Linked DNA regions of Macaca fascicularis. The protein of the gene in region 1 purifies or fractionates together with the protein of each later gene. This does not show direct contact. Links are inferred from orthologs where the notes say so. Each region holds a gene or a part of one and is shown on either strand. Other genes may lie near its edges.

The links. Proteins that work in one complex are often made in the same cells at the same time.
Region 2: the proteins of DDX24 (region 1) and NIFK purify together in Homo sapiens (affinity purification with mass spectrometry; 3 studies listed by BioGRID and IntAct, counting the BioPlex papers as one, with this or other methods). This does not show direct contact. The link is inferred for Macaca fascicularis from reciprocal best matches to the Homo sapiens genes DDX24 and NIFK.

The regions. Positions count from the first base shown.
Region 1 is NC_088381.1:162,093,670-162,098,904, forward strand, and holds the start of DDX24 (ATP-dependent RNA helicase DDX24), read right to left. Parts: upstream 3,459-5,235; 5' UTR 3,367-3,458; intron 2,037-3,366; 5' UTR 2,032-2,036; coding exon 1,320-2,031; intron 1-1,319. UniProt on the Homo sapiens protein: ATP-dependent RNA helicase that plays a role in various aspects of RNA metabolism including pre-mRNA splicing and is thereby involved in different biological processes such as cell cycle regulation or innate immunity.
Region 2 is NC_088386.1:10,002,442-10,007,715, reverse strand, and holds the start of NIFK (MKI67 FHA domain-interacting nucleolar phosphoprotein), read right to left. Parts: upstream 3,440-5,274; 5' UTR 3,422-3,439; coding exon 3,317-3,421; intron 2,317-3,316; coding exon 2,179-2,316; intron 1-2,178.

The DNA of each region.
Region 1 (5,235 bases):
CCTCATCAAGAGTTTCCTGACCACTGTTCCAGAAACCCAAAGCACAACGTGTCTATTGAACACTTAAAATGTAGTTACTCTAACCTGACATGTGCTGCAAGTTTAGTAATTTATTACTAAAAATTAATTAAAATTTTAAAATTGTTTAAAAATTTAAGTAATTTATTACTTAAAAATTTAGTAAGAAAATGTAAAATATCTCACTAGTTTTTTTTAACTTTTAAAAAATGTGGCTCCTAGTAAATTTTCAATTACACATGTATTTTACACTATACAATCACCGTTCTGTAACCGTGGGTTCTGCATCTTGGGGATCGACAATATTCAGGGGGTAAAAAAAAAACTGTATCTGTACTAAACACCGTACAGACTTTTCTTGTCATTATTCCCTAAACAATACGGTGTAACAATTTACATAAGATCTACATTGTATGAGGTATTATAAGTAATTTAGAGATGATTTAAAATATACAGGAGGATGTGCATAGCTTATATGCAAGCACTACACCATTTTATATCAGACTTGAGCATCCCTGGATTTTGGTATCCAAGGGAGGTCCTGGAACCAATCCTCCATGGATATCAAGAGATGACTATATGTATTTCTAACGGACACTGCTGGTCTAAACAGACCAATAGTTCCAGGCAGTACTAGTTCCTCCCCCAAGTCAGTAGTCTAGTTATCCAGCAAAGCCAACCTGTCGTTGCTTCCAAAAGTCTTGCAGGAACCTCACACAGCCTAGTCCTAACAGTCACGTCATAGCTGAATCTGTTTACAAAATCCACCCAATGACTATCCATCATACTCAAATCCTTCCAATGACAAGAAATTCATCAACTCCCAAAGCAGCAACCCTTTTCACCTTTGCACAACTCCTGAGAATTAGACAGTTCTTCCTTATACTTATGAAGATCGACCTCTCCAGAGGGCTGATCTTAGCCTTACCTTACCCCTATGAGTCATTCAGAAAAGGCTCAAGAACAGGAGAAACTACCATTTGCAGACCACTTCCAATGTACAGTGTAAGCTTTAGCTTACTGTAGCATTTAACTCTCACAGCAATGCAAGAGGTAGAAACTGTTATCTCCATTTGGTTGATAATGGGGTCTACAGAGCTGAGAGAGATAAAAGTGATGGCTAGGGTACCATTCAGGAAAAGCATATTTCAAACCAGAGGGGGCTGACTTCTAAACACCTTTATTCAGCGTTGCTTTTGTGGTTATGTTCTCAACATTCTTCTCTCTCCCAATTATCTGGCTTATTAGTAGCTATGGGCTCAATCCAGAAGCAATCCTGCCTTGGCCGGAGTTGCCCTTACCTGTCTCAGCAGCCCCAAGGATGTCCAGTCTGTCACGGATGGCAGGTGCCAAGGTCAGGGCTTGGATCGGTGTGGGTGCAGAGAAGCCTAGAAAGCTGAGTGCTCGGAGAACCGGCCTGGGAACAAACAGGTCCTTCCAAGCTGACACATCTGCCTTCTGATCATGAACTTCAGGAATCCATGTCTTCACTTTTTTGGGCACCTTAACAGCAGTGCTCTGAGAAGGCTCCAAACCTTTTTTCCCTTTATTTTTCTTCTTTTTTGGAGCAGTTTGGACCAGGTTTTCTGATGTCTTCTCTCCAGCCTCCGGATCATCACAAACCATGCCATCTCCCTGGGCCTCCAGCTCAGAATCTTTGACTTCAACCTCTTTCTGGGTACTAGTTCCTTCAGTTGCTACATTTTTACTTTTCTTCAACTTCATCTTTTTCTTTGGTGAGCTAGACTCTCCCTCCTCCTCTTCTTCTGAAACAGCTTGTGCCTTTCTCTTGGGTGCCTCCTTTGAGAAGAGACTCGAGGGATTCTTGGCAGGAGAGACCAACTGGTAATCTGTCAATTCCTCAAAGCATACCAAATCATCCATCTGTCCATCTGCAAACATATTTGGGTCAATCTTCACTTCCTTCCATTTTCCCACAACTTTGATTCCCTTTGTCTGAAATTTGCCATAGTTTGATGCCTTTGGCCTTGATTTTGTGTCCTTCAACTTCATGGTTGCTGAAAAGGAGATACATGTTCTATTAGGTTGGTGTCTGAGAAGCAGAGGGTTCTGATGCAACAAATATTTTCTAAGCAACTAGGCCCTACAAAGAACTGAGGATACAAAGACGGCTATCACACAGTTGCTCCTACCTAGAGAAGAACAAAGAAGGAAATACCACAGAACAGACAGCTTTGCCCGAAACACAGGGTACACATGTGATGGAACAAAGACGTATGAGCTAGACCTGGTTTGAATTCCAAATTCAACACTTACTGCGTGTGTGACCTTGGATAGTGCCACCCACTCCTCTCTGAACTTCAGTGCTCTCATCTATAAAAAGGGGGAAGAGTACCTAACAATATCTAAGTTGTATATTTTGTGTAAATAAAGGAAATTATGTAAAGCACGGAGGATGAAGCCTGCCACACATAAGCCGTTCTGAAGGCAGAGTAAGAATCTGAGGGGTTTTTCTTGTGGGGGCAGGAGGGGTGAGCTTTATTAAAAGCGTATTGCGCTTGCTTCCTTCTCAAGCCTTGCCTGAGAGAGCAAATGCCTGCTCTACCATCCCTTCCTTTGCCAAGCGTCTTAAAACCCATCCAGCTTTTTCATCATATTTTAAGTGGCTTAAAGGCCATTTAGGCCCAACTCGTTTGGGTGGAACTCGATCCAGGTTTTTCCTTTTCAGAAAGCCGAAGGAAGACAACACGTTCCGTGAAAAAGACCAAGGTAAATCTTGGTTCAAATCCGGATCCACCACTCGTCAGCTGTGGCTCTGCGGTGGACGTATCCATCTCTGAGTCTCTATTTCCCCGTCTGCATAATGGGAATAACGAGGACATTTGTCCCACAGAATCGTTATACGCCACTACGAAAAAGTGACGCACGTCAAAAACCGCTGAGCATGGCGCCCGGCGAGAAGAGCACGTTCGCACACGGTGCCCGCCGGACCCGCTGCGCCATGGCAAAAAAAACACGCGGGGTTCAGCGAGGAGAGGGCGGGGGGTGCCACGCGAGGAACCGGGCGAGGACACGGGGAGCGTCAGGCAGAGTAGAAGGGCCTCTGTTTCCTCGTGACGCCGGTCTCGCGCGGCGCTCTCGCTTTGTCTCAGGCACGAACGCGCGCACGAAACCGAGAAGCCGAGGCCGTCAGGCCCTGATGCCCAGACAAGGAGCCCAAGGCGCGGGGACCATGGCACGCAGCTCGGTTGGACGGCTTGGGCCTGCGGGCGCCCTCTCTGGACCCGGGAACCCACCGGCCCAGAGAGACCTGCGAATAGGAACCCGGGTTCCTGGCCTCAGCCCCTCTCCAGGGTCCGCTCCAGCCCCGCTCGTTTTGGTACTCACCGTGTGAAGACGCCACGGCAGCTCCGTTGGTCGCCGGTCAGGAGCCTCAGAAACCGCCGCTGTACCTCAGCTGCAGAAGCAACCGCAGTTCCGGGGCGGGACCTCCACACACGTACTCGTGCGCGCTGCGGAGGAAGTCCCACCCCTATGGCAAACTCAGCTATCTGATTGGCTGCCTCGCGGACCAAAGCTGTGCTGATGGGAGAGCTGGCTTGGGGCGCTGGCCCCTCCTCTTCCAGCTCTGCTCCTCCCCGCTTAGGGAAAGGCCACAGAAGGTGAGGTTCTGTGTGCTCCCTCCGACTAGAGACTTTGTCAGGTACCTCACAGTAACGTGTTTTCTTTTATTTTTGGTGTAGTTTTGTTACCAGAAAGGGGTCCCGATCCAGACCCCAACAGAGGGTTCTTGGATCTTGCGCAAGAAATAATTCAGGGCGAGTCCGCATAGCAAAGCAAAAGCAAGTTTATTAAGTAAAGTGGCGAAAGTGCGGCTACTTCGTAGACGGAGTGGGGCGTTCCCGAAAGAGGACGTACGCGTCCATCGTAGGGAGATGTATTCTGCTACAAGGGTGACCTGTGATGAGTGTTCCTTGTATTGTAATTGTTTGGGGCCGCCATGAACTGTGCCCATATAAGACGACAAACTTAATTGATAAATGTTGTGTGTGTTCAGACTAATCCACTGACAGGCCGTTCTCCCTTCTCTCTCCCTTTCCTTGGGACTCTATTCCCTGAGACACAACAGTATTGAAATTAGGTCAATTAATAACCCTACAATGGGCCTCTAACTGTTTAAGTGAAAGAAAGAGTCGCACATCTCTCACTTTAACTCAAAAGCTAGAAATGGTTAAGCTTAGTGAGGAAGGCATGTCAAAAGGCAAGATAGGCTGAAAGCTAGGCTGAAAGTTTCACCAAAAAAGTTAGCCAGTTTGTGAATGCAAAGGAAAGCTACTGAAGGAAATTAAACATTTTACGCTAACGAACACATGAATGATAAGAAAGTGGAACTGTTTATTGCCGATTTGGAGAAAATTTTAGTAGTTTGGATAGAAAATAAAACCGGCTACAACATCCCCTAAAACCAAAACCGAATCCAAAGCAAGGCCCTGATTCTCTTCTGTTCTGTGATGCCTGAGAGAGGTGAGGAAGCTATAGAAGTTTGAAGCTAGAAGAGATTATTTCATGAGGTTTAAGGAAAGACGCTGTCTCCAGAAACATAAAAGTGTAAGATGAGGCAGCAAGTGCTGATGGAGAAGCTGCAGCAAGTTATCCCCAAGATCTAGGTAAGATCACTGATGAAGGTGGCCACTGAACAGCAGGTATTCAGTGTAGACAGAACAGCCTTCTATTGGAAGAAGATGCCATCAAGGACTTTCATAGCTAGAGAGGTCAATGTCTGGCTTCAAAGGCCAAGCTCACTCTTTTGTTAGAGGCTAATGCAGCTAGTGACTTTAAATTGAAGCCAGTGCGTGTTTACCATTCTAAAAATCTTAGGTCTTTTAAGAATTACACTAAGTATAATCTGCCTGTGCTCTGTAAGTGCAACAACAAAGCCTGGATGACAGCACATTTGTTCATAGCATGGTTCACTGAATATTTTAAGCCTACTGTTGAGGACTACTGCTCAGAAAAAAGATTTCTCTCAAAGTATTATTGCTCATTGAAAATGTGCCTAATCACCCAAGAGCTCTAATTGAGATGTATATGGAGATTAATGTTGTTTTCATGTCTGCGAACCAAGATCCATTCTTCAGTCCATGGATCAAGAAGTAATTTTGCCTTTCAAGTTTTATTATTTAAGATACATTTTGTAAGGCTATGGCTGCCATAGATAGTTATTCCTCTGATGGATCTGGGCAAAGTAAATTGAAA
Region 2 (5,274 bases), on another chromosome or scaffold:
GGGAGTTCGAAACCATCCTGACCAATATGGTGAAACCCCATCTCTACTAAATATACAAAAATTAGCCAGGGGTGGTGGTGTGCGCCTGTAATCCCAGCTATTCAGGAGACTGAGGCAGGAGATTCGCTTGAACCCAAGAGGCTGAGGGTGCAGTGAGCCAAGATCGCGCCACTGCACTCCAGCCTGGGCAACAGAGTGAGACTCCGTTTCGGGGAGGGGGGGGGAAGGCCAGCACGGTGGCTCACGCTTGTAACCCCAGCACTTTGGGAGGCCAAGGCGGGAGGATCATGAGGTCAGGAGATCGAGACCATCCTGGCTAACACAGTGAAACCCCCTCTCTACTAAAAAAGTACCAAAAAAAAAAAAAATTAGCCAGGTGTGGTGGTGGGCGCCTGTGGTCCCAACTACTCGGGAGGCTGAGGCAGGAGAATGGCGTGAACCCGAGAGGCAGAGCTTGCAGTGAGCCGAGATCACACCACTGCACTCCAGCCTGGGTGACAGAGCGAGACTCTGTCTCAAAAAAAAAAAAAAAAAGTTAGCCAGGCATGGTGGCGGGCACCTATAATCCCAGCTAGTCTGGAGGAGGGCAGGAGAATCGCTTGAACCTGGGAGGCAGAGGTCACAGTCAGCTGAGGAACTGTGCTACTGCACTCCAGCCCGGGCGACAGAGCGAGACTCCGTCTCAAACAAAACAAAACAACAACCAAAAAAACCCTGAATAGAATGAAATAGAAAATCAGCAAATCACACAAAACAAGTTTAAATATTGTCTCATATGGCTTTTATTTCAGTTATGCTTACATGTATGTGTATGTGTGCTGGTTTGTGCTATGAAACTTTTTTTGAAAACCCTCATCTTCTCTGTGATGGTAAAAACTTACTTCTTATTGTGAGCCAGTCTGCAAAATGCTCTTCTAGAAAAATCTGTCTATACCTGCACAAAGATTGTTCCTAGCAGCTTCATGTAAAGAGTTAAAAATAGTAAAAAACCTAATGTTCAGGCTAGGCACAGTGGCTCGCTCACACTTGTAATTCCAGCACCTTCGGAGGCCGAGGTGGGCGGATCACCTGAGGTCAGGAGTTTGAGACCAGCCTGGCCAAAACATGGTGAAACACGGTTTCTACTGAAAATATAAAAATTAGCCAGGTGCAGTGGCCAGTACCTGTAATCTCAGCCACTTAGGAGGATGAGGCAGGAGAATCACTTGAATGTGGAGGCAGAGGTTGCAGTGAGCTGAGATCGTACCACTGCACTACAGCTGCCTGGTGACAAGAGTGAGATTGTCTCAAAAAAAAAAAAAACCCCAAAACAAAACCTAATGTTCAATAGGAGCGTGGATAAACTTTAGTTACCTAAGTAACAAGCAATGATGATAACAAAGGCACTAGAGTTACACGGATAAAGCTCAGATTATTGAGTAAAAAAATTCAGCTGAAGAATGATAGAAATAATTTTAAAATAATACTATATGTACATTTATATATGTACACACGTGTTGTAGCACATATATATATAGATACAGTAAAAACTTATAAACATATATAGCAATGAAAACTGAATTTGTGGCCAGGAGCGATGGCTCACGCCTGTAATCCCAGCACTCTGGGTGGCTGAGGTGGGAGGATCACAAGGTCAGGAGTTCGAGAACAGCCTGGCCAACTAATGAAACCCCGTCTCTACTAAAAACACAAAAAAAATGTAGCCAGGTGTGGTGGCAGGTGCCTATAATCCCAGCTACTTGGGAGGGTGAGGCAAGGAGAATCGCTTGAACCTGGGAGGCGGAGGTCGCAGTGAGCTGAGATCGCACCACTGCACTCCAGTGCAAGCTTCTGTCTCAAAAAAAAGAAAACGGAATTTGTGAATTTAATTCCCTAATTAAAGGAGAAGGTGAAGAACACTGGGAAGGGTACAAAAGGGACCTCAATTCTACCTATAATCTGTATCTTTAGGACAACTAACAGATGATGGATGCACACCCTATCCCCTAGATGCTAAATCAAATAGGTGCCTATGGCTACAACCCAAGTTTATGTGCCGGGATTCTATGTTTCAGATTCTAAACCTCCACTCTTCTTTTTGGAATGAAATCTGATAAGAGTATGTGAACGTGCTCTTTAATGTCAAGAATCACACACATTTGAAAAACAAAACGTCAAATCCAACTTTAAAAATCTTACCCTTTTACTTCTGGACAGTCTGAATCGTGTCACAGTGCCAAACTGGGAGAAATACGAAAAGATCTGGGTTTCGTTAAGTAGGTTAGGTAGGTGGCCCACATAGACTACTCCAGAAGTAAGTCGTTCTTGTTTTTTCCGCTGAAGACATAAAGACCAGGTAAATTAAATATTTTTTAAAATAAGAAAATCACATTGTAACAAAACTTACAAAACCCCTAGCCCTAGGCCCAAGAACCTACTCCGCATTTCCACTTACCACAGTAGTAATTAAAGAAGTGGCTGTTGAGTGTCTCTCTCCCCACAAAGGCCATGGCCAAGCAGTAATCAACTATCTTTCCAGCCTGGCATCCCAGCACCCAGTATAATGTTAGTGCTCAATAACTATGTCAATCAACGGATAAGCAAGGACATCTTCGAACAAGCCATTTTGGATCTTCTGCCCAGAGAACTCTACATAAATATAGCCTTCAATTTTGTATGCATATTACTGTTTACTCGCATTTCATCGAAAAATTTTCGAGACGCTTGCTAACTCTCACAATACAGATTAGCCTTTCAGCGTCTCAACCATCATACCCTTACCTCTGTAACAAGAACTTCTAAGTTTTCCTGTGTAGTTTATGCTAAAAACCACAGAAAGTATAAGCGATGTCAGGGGCCCTGGTCAGCAAGCGGAACCTGGCAACTACTCTATTTTAATAACTCCCAGATCACCAACCCGGCATACAAACCTCCCGAATGTGTTAAGTCTGGGGCCCCCGTTTTCGGGGGGAACGCGGAAGCGTGACAGGTCTAACCCGGAGACAACCTGTGGTATGGGAACCTATTCCCTCCAGGTGGTTCCCTCCGCGGCTTCCGTCACCCCAATACTTCCCCCTTACCCTCCACATGAAGGCTCCAAGGCCTCAGCGGCCAAACCTCTCCATCATTTACCCACCAGCGTAAACCCTTTAGTCTCAGAAACCGTGGCCTGCAAGCTTAAGAGGTGGGTCCCTGATTCGGTCAAATCCGCTAAGGATACTCTGGAAGGCGTGCGCGAAGGCAAGGGGAGTCCGGGCGGGGAACCGCGCAACCCCGGATACCCCCTAGACCCTGTCCGTCGCCCCCGCTCGCAGCCTGGACCAGGGTGCCTGCTCACCTGGGTTATGCGCTTGCGAACCTGCGCCACCTCCTTTTGAAACTCGGCATCTTCCTGCGGGTTAAGCGACAGGATCGGCCCAGCTGGGCCAGAAAAAGCCGCCATGCCAAAAGCGGCCAACACTAACTCCACGCGGCGCTCCCGGAAACGACGGGCTCCCAGCTCCCCTGAGGCGGAAGTAGAGGCAGGACAGGGGCGTGGCGAAGCGCGGAGGCGAGGCGTGGCGAGGGGTGGGGAGGGCCATGAGTCGCGCGCGGGGTTGGAGCAGGAGTAGCACGGAGAAGCGGGGGTGGGGCACGAGGCGCGGGGCGCGGGACGCGGGACGGGGCATAAATTGTGCCGTGGTGCGAGGGCGGGGCACGAGGCCTGGCGAGGGGCGGGGAGAGGCATGAGTCGCGCGGAGGCGCGGCACCGGGCGTGAGTTGTGCCGAGGCGGGGGTGGGGAGTGGGGCGGGACGGGGGTGGGGTGGGGACAGGGGTGGGGGTGGAGACGGGGGGGGGTGGACAGAGCGGTGCGGGGCAGGGGGGCCCCGGGGCGGGGGGGAGTGGGGTCTGGGGCTGGGCTGGGGATAGTTTCCGCGCCCTCCGCTGTAGGGGCGCCGATTGGCTTGGCTTAAGAGTGCCTGAAACAATTACCTTCACGCCTACTTAGAAAGGCGGTCTACAATTATAAAACAGTACTGGTGCCCGAGATGCTGCTCACATTCCTCAATTTGCTTATTATTATTTTCGAAACAGTTTCCGCTCTGGTTGCCCCAGCTGCAGTGAAATGGCTCAATCTGAGCTGACTGCAACTTCTGCCTTCAGAGTTCAAGTGATTCTCCTGCCTCAGTCTCCCGAGTAGCTGGGATTACTGGCGCCCGCACCACGCCCCACTGGCTTATTTTTAGTAGAAATGGGGTTTCACCATGTTGGTCAGGCTGGTCTCGAAGTCCTGACCTCAGGTGATCTACCCGCCTCAACCTCCCAAAGTGCTGGGATAACAGGTGTGAGCCACCGTGCCCAGCCCTAATTTGGTTATTTCACTCACTAGTGTGTGAGCCCCTCCTGTGTGGAGACCCCTAGAGAATTTACAGCCTGGGGCAGCATGGCTGCTTTGAGAGATGAAAGAACCTCGTGGGGGAGAGGCACACTGGGTGACGCAGGAGGGTCCCCCTTAGGAGGTGGTGTTGGCAGCGAAGCCTGAAGGCTAAGGAGCAGGGTCTGGAGAACTGAGGCCCTGCCATCTGCTGGATCAGACAGGCCTACACATGTGTTCCTAGGTATAGAAAGAAGGACCCAGCAGTGGGGTTGGAGCCCAGCGTAGGAGGGAAGAGCTGCGAGGGGGCAGGCTGGAGTCCCATGGCTCTGTGTGTCAAAGTATGAAACTGGGGTTTTGTTGTAAATGCGAGGGGGTGGTTGGGTTTTAAGCGAGGCTGTGGCTGTTTACACCTTTTTTGTCCAGAACTGGTGGATTCTTGGTCTCCCTGACTTCAGGAATGAAGCCACAGACCCTCGTGGTGAGTGTTACAGTTCTTAAAGATGGTGTGTCCAGAGTTTGTTCCTTCTGATGTTCGGACATGTTCAGAGTTTCTCCCTTCGGGTGGGTTTGTGGTCTCACTGGCTTCAGGAGTGAAGCTGCAGACCTTTGCGGTGTTACAGCTCTTAAAGGCAGTGCGTCTGGAGTCGTTCATCCCTCCTGGTGGGTTTGTGGTCTTGCTGGCTTCAGGAGCGAAGCTGCAAACCTTTGTGGTGAGTGTTACAGCTCATAAAGGCGGTGCACACCCAAAGAGTGAGCAGCAGCAAGATTTATTGCAAGAGCAAAAGAACAAAGCTTCCACAGCATAGAAGGGGACCTGAGCAAGTTGCCACTGCTAGTTGGAGCAGCCTTCTTTTATTTACTTATCTGACCCCACCCACATCCTGCTGATTGGTCCATTTTACAGAGAGCTAATTGGTCCGTTTTAACAGAGTGCTGA